Linked DNA regions of Caenorhabditis elegans. The protein of the gene in region 2 interacts with the protein of the main gene of each other region in a pairwise test. Each region holds a gene or a part of one and is shown on either strand. Other genes may lie near its edges.

Region 1 (4,751 bases), 7.2 Mb from region 2:
GACGTGCTCCGCGTTCATTCGGAGCCAATATCGACAGATTAGGTATTTATTCCGAAAACTACTTTTACGGCAAATCGGTAAACCGGCAACTTGCCGGCATTGAAAATTTCCGGCAAATCGGGGGCCGGAAAATCGGCAAAATTCCGGAGTTTAAATTATCCGGCAAATTGACAAATTACCGGAATCGAAAACTTCCGGCATTCGGCAAACGGGCATATTGCCGGCATTGAAAATTTCCGGCAAATTGTCGGAATTGCAATTTCCGGCAAAATGTCGGAATTGCAAATTTCCGGCAAATCTGCAAACCGGCAAATTGCCGGAATTTAATTTTCCGGCAAATTGGCAACTTACCGGAATTGAAAATTTCCGGCAAATCGGCAAACCGCCAACTTACCGGAATTGAAAATTTCCGGCAAATTTCCGGAATCGAAAATTTCCGGCAAATCGGCAAACCGGCACTTTGCCGATTTTCTTTTTGCAATTTTGCCACACGCTTTTATTATCCTTTTAAATACGATTTTTCTGCATTTTTTCGAAAAAAACTAATTATCTTCCAGTATTTTGGTAAATAAACTCGGAAATTCATTTGAAAAATGAATTTAAAAAATGTAAACGCGCTCCATTTTTTTCGGTATTGCCGCTGAATTCCTAACGAGACCCATGGTTCGGAGGCGGAGCGCTTTCGATTGGCCGTGGAGCGCGTTTACTGTTTTTTAAACTAGTTTTCTAATAATAATTTCCTAAAACTAATAATGATAATAATAATTAAACTAGTTTTCTGCAAATTTTCGAATAAAATGTTCAAAGTTTTCCCGATCTTGAGCTAAAAAACGGGGTACCCGGTCTCGACACGACAAAATTGTGTTAAACGCGGAAAGCTGTGCGCTTTTAAAGACTACTGTAATTTCACTTTTTGGAATTTCTATCGATTTTTAATATTTTTTTATTATGTTTTGGTGAAAATCAAATGAAAAATTTATAGAAAATTCCTAAAAGTGAAACTACAGTAATCTTTAAAGGCGAAACTTTTTTGAATTAAAAAAAAAGATTGTCGTGTCGAGACCGTATCTTTCACAATTTCAGACAATGCTACGATGGTCCACGTGGCGTTCAACTCCAGCGCGAAGCTGCTCAAAAGACGATGAGCACCCGACCGAATCCGATCCTCGAAGTTCCATATCTCCTCATCAACGACTACACACCATCGGTCGATATGAACAATCTGAATGTGATGCTGCTGCCTCAGTTGTTAGCGAAATGGACTAAATTAACGCATAAACAATAAATCGATTAAAGGCGGGGAAGATTCATGTTTTCCAACACCGAACTGGGATGATTTCAAAATAAATTATGGGGAAAAATACACAAAAAGACGGGGAGAGAACGAGGAAATTGGGAATTTTTGAGAAAATAATAAAAAAATAAGCAAATGAGTATTGATTTAAAAATTATTGCAATGAAGTCGTCGCCATCATACCGGCCAAACTTTGCACAATATTGTCGTTGAGCATCTTGCTCACTTCATCAGCAATATGCCGCTTCGGATCCATCTTTCCGACGTTCTTGATCGCGAGCTCCTGATCCGTCATGTTCTTCTCGTCCTCCAACGCCTTCTTGTAGTTCTTGGCGAGCTTGAGCATCGCCTTGAGGTGCTCCTTGTTCTGTTCACCGCATTTTGAGTAGTTTTCGACGCTGACTGCGTCCATCCATGAGAGCTTGTTAAGATTCAAGAGCATCTTCTGTTCAAGGTCGTGGGTTCTGTAGGCGATTGGGATGGAGTAGTAGTGACGATTGAGTCCGTGGATTAGGGCCTGAAAAAAAAACCGAAAATTATTGAAATGTTCACTAAAAACCGATAATTTCCCCAACCTGAATGCTCGGCTTCTGCAAATGACCCAAATTACTGGTAGTTTGACGTGGTTCTTGATTTAAAGCCATCGATTGTGGGTTGATCGTACGGAACGCGTCGATCACAACCTTTCCCTTCACAGATTGAATCGGGTCGACGACAACGGCGACAGCTCTGTCGGAAAGCGCTTCAAACGACTGCTGAGTGTTGATGTCGACGCCGGAGAGCCAACATCCGAATCCTGGATGGGAATGGTACCATCCGACGACCATCTCGGGTCTTCCGGTCTGTTTGAGCATGTCGAGCATCTTCGCCTGGAATACTGGATCGACCGCTTCGACTGAGACTCCCTGTAATGAAAATAATAAATTATCTTTTTTAAAAATTCAATTTTTGACGAAAACTCACGGTTCCAGACTGTGGCATAGCGAAAACGTCGATCACATTGACGGTGTAGTCGTCGACGAATTCTCCAAGCATCAGCCCCATCACTTCCATGGGAACTCCGGCTCTTCCGTGTTTGAGCATCTTCAGCAACGCCAGCGAAGAAATGTAGACGGTTTCCGAGGTGTCGACTTGATTCGAGTCCTGTGGATTGGCTCCGAACTGGAAATATTCGAAATTTTAGATGATTTTCTATCGAAACAGAATGCAATTACCGTTCCAAGGTTTCCACCAAGACCTCCGAGTCGCAGGAATCGCTCCATTCCTCTCTGAAACAGATTTCGGTGAAAATTAACAGAAATTTCGTGGAAACAACTGAGAAAATCGATAAAAACACAATACGACATTGATAATTACCATTATCCAGATATTTTAATAAATTTTTGACCGGAAATATCCGAAATTTACAGCAAAAAACGAAGAAATCGGGAGTCGCGTTCGAAAATTGTGAGGATGACAATTGCGGGGTACGCAAACACCACGCGGGTGTCACTGCGGACTTTGCGCGCGATATGACGACAATGCAAAAAAATAAAGAAAACGGCGGGAACAGTTTATTTTCAAATAAAAAAGGTCAAATATTAATTTCTCATAATAAGGTTTATTCAAGTGGAATATTTGAATTTTGAGCAATTTTAAATAGTCAGTAGCATAGTGAAGTTGGGTAATGTGAATGAGGGAATTTAAAAATAACAATTAAATTAAAAGTTTAGAGTCGAGGACTTTGTTGGATCGCGGCTCTTGGAGCAACATCTTCTTTTTTGACAGTCTCACAGCCATTGGTTTGGATTGAACGGTGTATTCTAAAATTTAGACGTTAAATTATTGATATTTTGTTTTCAAACTTACGTTTCTAGCAGGTATACGCCGTAGTTGCATTTCTCTTCCCTGCTCCAAAACGCCGACTCTCCTTTGAAACTGCCGTTCTGAAAATTTTACTATATTAGAATCTTTTTTAGCCAATTAATTTAACTTACGTATTTGTTAGTAAAGTTCGATTTTCCAGCCAAATTTTTGAAAAAAAATATCATAGCAGCTTCCCTGGCGAGTGCTAGATTTTCGATAATTGGTCTCCCTAAAAAGCAATTCAATTTATAGATTTTTCTTATCTAAACGTACAAATTATGTGTTTATAAACAAATCCTTTTTTGTTCCAAGCCTGGTCAATTGTAGTAAGCTTGCGGCTTCCTTGAATGTTCCCGCAAGCATCCTTGAAGTAGGCCATTGCTCTTTCCCCTTTTCCTTTGCCCACGTAGAATATTGACGAGAGGAACGTAGCCAGATCTACTTCCCTCACGTCTTTGTCCAGAACGTATGGGTTTATTAGAACGTAACAGTAACTCTCACTAGGTGCTTCCTTCAAACTTTTTTTCAGATCGTTATCCATAGTTTTCCCTTTTTCTTTTAAATCCTCTCGTAACTCTTCGCCGTCCATGTACTGTCCCAATGTCTTCGATGGCTTCTTATTTCTTGTTGCGCGATTGACGTTAGTAGATTTTTCTTGATGGGGAGATCCGGTGAGCTTTGAATTGATACATAATTAGCAGATCGCTTCCTCGATTCTTGATACTTGTCTCTTCTATAAGCATTAGAATATGAAAACTTGAAAATGGTTTTTTTTTTCAATTAAAATAAGTTTCAAAAGTTATCACTTACTGATTAGTAGCCGATCTCGTGTTGGTTAGGTTGATGTTAGTTTTTTTTGACACACGATCTCTGAATAAAAAAATTCACATGCGATATTATCAGGTCCTGCCATTTTAAACATTTTTCAGCTACTTTTTCCACGCGGCAATTCACCGGCAATTTTAATTCCGGCAACTCGGCAATTTGCCAATTTGCCGGAGATTTCAATTCAGGCAATTCGCAGGTTTGCCGATTTGCCGGAAATTTAAATTCCGGCAAAGTGCCTTTTTTCCGGCAATTTGCAGGTTTGCCGATTTGCCAGAAATTTCAATTCCGGCAAAGTCCCGTTTTTCCGGCAATTTGCAGGTTTGCCGATTTGCCGGAAATTTAAATTTCGGCAAAGTGCCGTTTTTCCGGCAATTTGCAGGATTGCCGATTTGCCGGAAATTTACATTTCGGCAAAGTGCCGTTTTTCCGGCAAAACGGCAATTTGCAGGTTTGCCGATTTGCCGGAAATTTCAGTTCCGGCAAAGTGCCGTTTTTACGACAAATCGGCTATTTGCAGGTTTGCCAATTTGCCGGAAATTTAAATTTCGGCAAAGTGCCGTTTTTCCGGCAAATCAGCAATTTGCAGGTTTTTCGATTTGCCGGAAATTTCAATTTCGGCAATTTGCCGATTTGCCAGAAAATTCAGTTCCGGCAAAGTGCCGTTTTTCCGGCATATCGGCTATTTGCAGGTTTGCCGATTTGCCGGAAATTTAAATTTCGGCAAAGTGCCGTTTTTCCGGCAAATCGGCAATTTGCAGGTTTGCCGATTTGCCGGAAATTTCAA
Region 2 (4,957 bases):
ACACCTCTCTCCATGCCTCCTCGTTGTTAGCGTTATGGATGCTGATAATGTTTTCCATGTCGCTTTTGCTCAGCGAGTCATCTTGCCATCTCCATCCTTTTCTGAAATTCAAATTTAAAATCAACAATAAACATTTATCAATCAAAAACTCACTTCAGCATGGCGTTCCAGAACATTTGGGGACTTGGATAGGTCCAGGTTTCAGTTTCTGTTCCAGCTTTCGGGATTGTAGACTTCTCTCGTTTCGTTGGAAGTGCGAATGGCTGATCTGGGGCTGGCTTTTGATTTGGATGTTCGAGCTCCTGAATTTTCAAAGTTGGCTTCAGAAAACTCTATTTTGAACTCACATTGTTGAGTGGATTGATAGAAGCCTTGTCAGCACCAACCGGGCAAGCGCCACCAGCTCCACAATTCTCTCCAGATGCAGCAGCTCTCTGTTCAGGTGTTAATGGGCATTGAGATCCTCCTCCAGCAGCAGCCATGCTGTGTTGAGCCTTACGAATTCTCTCAGCATCGGCGTTGGCATCTTGCACCTGAAAATAAATTCATACGTGTTTTCTTTTAACTGAAATTATAGAAAACTCACCTTTGGCGTCGATTGTGAAGAGCCCATGATGTAATTTTATCTGAAAACTAAACTATAGTTGGGGAAATGACGGTTAAATAGGCAGGTGGCGCACGGAAATGATGAAACTAGAGAAAAAAGGCCTTAAAAATAAACTACGCGTCATACGGGCCGCGTAACTACGGAGTGTCGTTGCAAACTTACGTTTCAAAAAATTTTCAGCACAAAATCGAGTTCAAAAAGAGAAAAGTTATGGAATAAACCATAAGTTTTGCAAGAATTAAAAGATGAGAAGGTAAGGGTGTATAATTTATCAGTCAATGTGAAGAAAAAAATAGACAGCATGACTAGACAATGGAGAGTGAGAAAAAGTTATTTATGCATCATATCGAGCAACTCGATTATAAATAGTACAGATCGTAGATAAAAACCAACTGAAGCTTCACAATTTTCCACATTTAGGCGACGCTAAATCCAATCAGCATCCCAGCTGCGAATCCGCCAAGAATCCACCGGTATTCGGAGACAAATGAATCGGAAATGTTGATAACTTTCTTGCCGGATACTCTGAAAAATTGAATAATATACGATTTTCGTTTTATTCTATTTTTTTTTCGTAAAATTCAAGCTTACTTGTTCATGACGGACTTGTGTAGATTTTTCATGTCTCGTTCGATTTTTGATTCGTTCAGCGTGATGTATCCTTTGTGAATAGCGAATTGAGCCAACAGGAAAGAGATTCCCACTGTGGCAGCAACAAGACGTCCTCCCTGAAAATATTTAAAAATTAAATATTTCTCTAGAACCACCAATTTTAAATACCTTGGTGACAAAATATCCAGTCACTGTCCCGAATCCAGCACCAACACCCAGCTGGACCATCGGCTGCTGCTTTTTCAGATCAACAACGTAGTAGAGGACTGTATCGATGGCATCACTCACACCTTTTCCGGCTTTTCCACTGCCTCCGTCGTTTTTTGAAAGATCAACCATGGCTGGAACAATCACAGTACTACATTACTCGAAGACGAAGAGAACCCGAATGTTAAGTATTGAAAAGTACTAGTGAACTATTGACACGGTGTTAGTCACATCTGACATCGAGAAAATTCAATATATTCACAGTCGATTAATTTATGAATTCAAATAAATACACACAGAAAGAAGACTGAACGATCTTGAAATTGTAGAATACACGTAGCAGTGTAATTATAAAAATAGAGGATTCCGGGATTGGGATGGGGGAGCATGGAGAAAATAAATTAAAGAAATGAGATGATTTAATTTTGAGTGAGAATCTCGCGTGCCTCTTTGCTGACGATTCCTTCCATGGAGTTGACATCGTTCCTCCATGCGGAAATGCGAGTCGCCATTTGCATTATCTGAAAAAAAGAAAATAAGTATTTTAAAAACTTATAATCAATTCTTATACCTGAGGATTATCTAAAACTCTTGGCTGCACCCATGTCACGTAGACAACTTGCTCAACTTGATTGATATCTCCACGAATGAGATCCTTGCTCAACGCCTTCATCACCAAGAACTCAACTTCGTCGAATGGGATCTGGCACTTCGTGGCGATTTCTTTGAATGAAACGCTTCTGGCTTTGGTTGGACGAGAGACTGCAAGTTCCATGACAGCCATCAGACGGATTTTGGCAGTCAGGAAATCCTTTTGCTTCTTCAAATCGTCCCAGCCTCCCCAATCTCCTTCGAGCGAGAAGAAGCGCGTCAAATCTCCCGAATTGAAGGCAAGAAGCACGTCCACGATCCAGCGTTCACGAGTTCCTTCGAGCGATTTGAGGATGGGGTGAGCAAGCTGAAAAAACCGTTTATTGGGGGAATTTAAATTGAGAGTTTCAACAAACCAATTCTCCGAAGTTGTGCACGTTTTCTCCCAGAAGAGCAGCGAAACCGAGAAGAACCGCATGGACTTGCTTCTGTTCTGTTGTCAGATTATTGGCGTCCTCAACTCCAAGATAACGAAGAGCTTCGCGATAATATCCAGCGAAGTCTCCAACTTCACGAAGATATAAAGATGAGACGCGGTAGAACGGGGCATGAACTTCTGTAACTCCGACAAGTGAGTCCACTTCGTGTTGTGTCGAATCGATTTGAGTTCGAATGCTCTTCAGATCAATAATCTGTCCATTTTTGTCCTTGTTCTCCAGTCTGGCTTCAATCTCTCCGGTATGAAGTCGAGCAACGGCAATCTTGTCCTTGTTGATGACGTTTCCAATTTTTGACAGGAATTCCATAGATTTTTGCTTGTCCTTTGTCGCGATATTTTGGGCGATCGAAATGCAAATCTCGACGAGCTGAAGAGGGTTGACACGCAGCTCCCACTCCGCCACGAACAGTCTGTAGAATTCGTGCATGTCCGTTGAAGCCACAAATTGTGGCTTCTTCACAAGGGATCGTGTCAGAACCGTTAGTTGATGCCAGAGCCTGAAAATTAGTGAAATAGTTTGTGTCTACAAAAACAATTGATTCTTACTTTTTCTCCCAGAGCTCCTTGAGATTCTTCCAGTCATCGGCCAGAGGTCCATTGGCAGCCGCCAGCTTTCCGTTGAGGTAGTCTTGAGCAGTCATCCTGAGAAATTCTCGATACATTAAAAATTGAGACGAGAAATGAGTGAAGAAGAAAGAAAATGAAGGAGTAGGAGCAATCAAAACAAAAATGGATTTCGAATAGCTAAAATGAACATTTTTGGCGAGCGCGCTCTCACAAAAATCAAAACAAAAAACTTTTTTTGAATTTTATTTGTCAGCAATTAAAGGCGCATGGCCTTTCACTTTGGAAATATCGAGACGCGAAAGACAATGTTTTCGGTCACGGCCATATGTCTGCGTCTACAGTCTCTTCAACATATGCGATAGGGCGCGCTTGCAACAATTTATTTTTCTTAATTTATTTTATTGTTTTTTAACAGAAGATATTGTTTTTAAAGTGCGAACACCCTTCTCGATTTATCCGCCAGCTGGCAACACAGCTTTTCAGGTTTTCCTTCCAGATTTGTGTGTTTTCTTCTTGGTTTATAGCGAAATCTGATAAAAATCGCAACTCTGAATAAAAATTATGTCAAACAAAGGCGTTGCTGTAAAATTGTGTCCATCCAATAGATTTTCCTCGCTTATTCTCGTATTATCTTTTTTCTTGATTTGCAAAAAAATGATCCAAGTATTTCGAAATTTCTGAAAATTCCGTGTTGTTACACGTCACATATCCTATCATTCGTTTTCTTCATTATCATCTTTTCTCCCTTTCACTGCAACGCTTCAAAATTAATCTCTGGTGCTTCGTTCTTATCTTCCGGTACTATTTCAATGTTCATACTACTTTCTATTGATTACTCGTTCAAAATTCCTAATTGTTAGTTTCTTTTTTCAGATGATCTCTCGATTTACAACGAGTTTCCTTTTATGGATGCTTCTGGTGTTCACAGTGGTATTCTTCGAAACTTCTGGTAAGTTTTTCTTTTGATTATTTGTTTCAATAATACAAATGAATTTCAGCGGCCTCTGACAAAGTTCTTCTTCGCGATGTATCAGCAATTACTCTACACAAAGGAAAAATGACGACAGGACGACGAGTTTCTCCAACCTTCCAGTTGAAGTGTGTCGGTGGATCCGCGAAAGGTGCCTTCACCCCAAAGGTGGTTCAGTGTGCAAATCAAGGTTTTGATGGTTCGGATGTGCAGTGGAGATGTGATGCAGATTTGCCACATGATATGGAATTCGGATCCGTTAGTTTTTTAAATATTTCCATCTCGCTTCAAAAAATGTTTCTTGTTTCAGATCAGTGTTTCATGTGAAGGATACGATTACGCAGAGGATCCATACATCCTGAGAGGATCTTGCGGGTTGGAGTATGAGCTCGAGTACAATTCTGCGAGCGGTAACAGATCAGTTTCTCGAAAGTCATCCCAGGATCGATGGGATCAGTTCGCCACGTTCGTCGTCGTCGCCTTCATCGCCTACATTATCTACGCGATGTGGACTAACAGAAATCAGAACCCAGAAAGCTCTGGCTACACTTCTGGTGGATCAGGAGGTCCTGGAGGCCCAGGATCCGGCGGAGGAGGTGGTGGTCCAGGTGGTTATCCAAGTGCTCCTCCACCATATGACGACTACTCCAAGCCACCGCCATATGGGTTCCGTGGTGACTCGCAATCTGGAGGTGGATGGTAAGGAATTTTAAATAAAAATGACCTTATTTTCATTAAAATTAAGTTTTTCAGTCAGGGAAGTTCTAGCGGAGGAGCAAGTGGCAGTGGCGCCAACAATGGTGGATCGTTTTGGACTGGAGCAAGTCTAGGAGCCATTGGAGGATACCTGGCATCCAGCTTCCTCAACAATAACAATGCCTACGCCCGTCCACGATACAACAGA

The links.
Region 1: the proteins of rpn-9 (region 2) and rpn-11 interact in a two-hybrid assay, tested with the Caenorhabditis elegans proteins (2 studies listed by BioGRID).

Annotation. Positions count from the first base shown.
Region 1 is NC_003280.10:4,041,769-4,046,519, forward strand, and holds rpn-11 (26S proteasome non-ATPase regulatory subunit 14), read right to left. Parts: upstream 2,563-4,751; 5' UTR 2,557-2,562; coding exon 2,509-2,556; intron 2,456-2,508; coding exon 2,258-2,455; intron 2,200-2,257; coding exon 1,870-2,199; intron 1,812-1,869; coding exon 1,449-1,811; 3' UTR 1,294-1,448; downstream 1-1,293. Other genes in the region: pqn-48 (Prion-like-(Q/N-rich)-domain-bearing protein), read left to right, coding at 1-42, 1,084-1,285; K07D4.2 (GIY-YIG domain-containing protein), read right to left, coding at 3,003-3,096, 3,143-3,219, 3,271-3,368, 3,413-3,728. UniProt on the Caenorhabditis elegans protein: Metalloprotease component of the 26S proteasome that specifically cleaves 'Lys-63'-linked polyubiquitin chains. The 26S proteasome is involved in the ATP-dependent degradation of ubiquitinated proteins.
Region 2 is NC_003280.10:11,235,762-11,240,718, forward strand, and holds rpn-9 (26S proteasome non-ATPase regulatory subunit 13), read right to left. Parts: upstream 3,159-4,957; 5' UTR 3,158-3,158; coding exon 3,063-3,157; intron 3,014-3,062; coding exon 2,434-3,013; intron 2,385-2,433; coding exon 1,998-2,384; intron 1,948-1,997; coding exon 1,846-1,947; 3' UTR 1,686-1,845; downstream 1-1,685. Other genes in the region: cchl-1 (putative holocytochrome-c-type synthase), read right to left, coding at 1-101, 154-302, 348-533, 587-613; FUN14 domain-containing protein fndc-1, read right to left, coding at 1,024-1,132, 1,199-1,335, 1,388-1,558; T06D8.9 (Store-operated calcium entry-associated regulatory factor), read left to right, coding at 3,957-4,032, 4,082-4,311, 4,364-4,752, 4,807-4,957.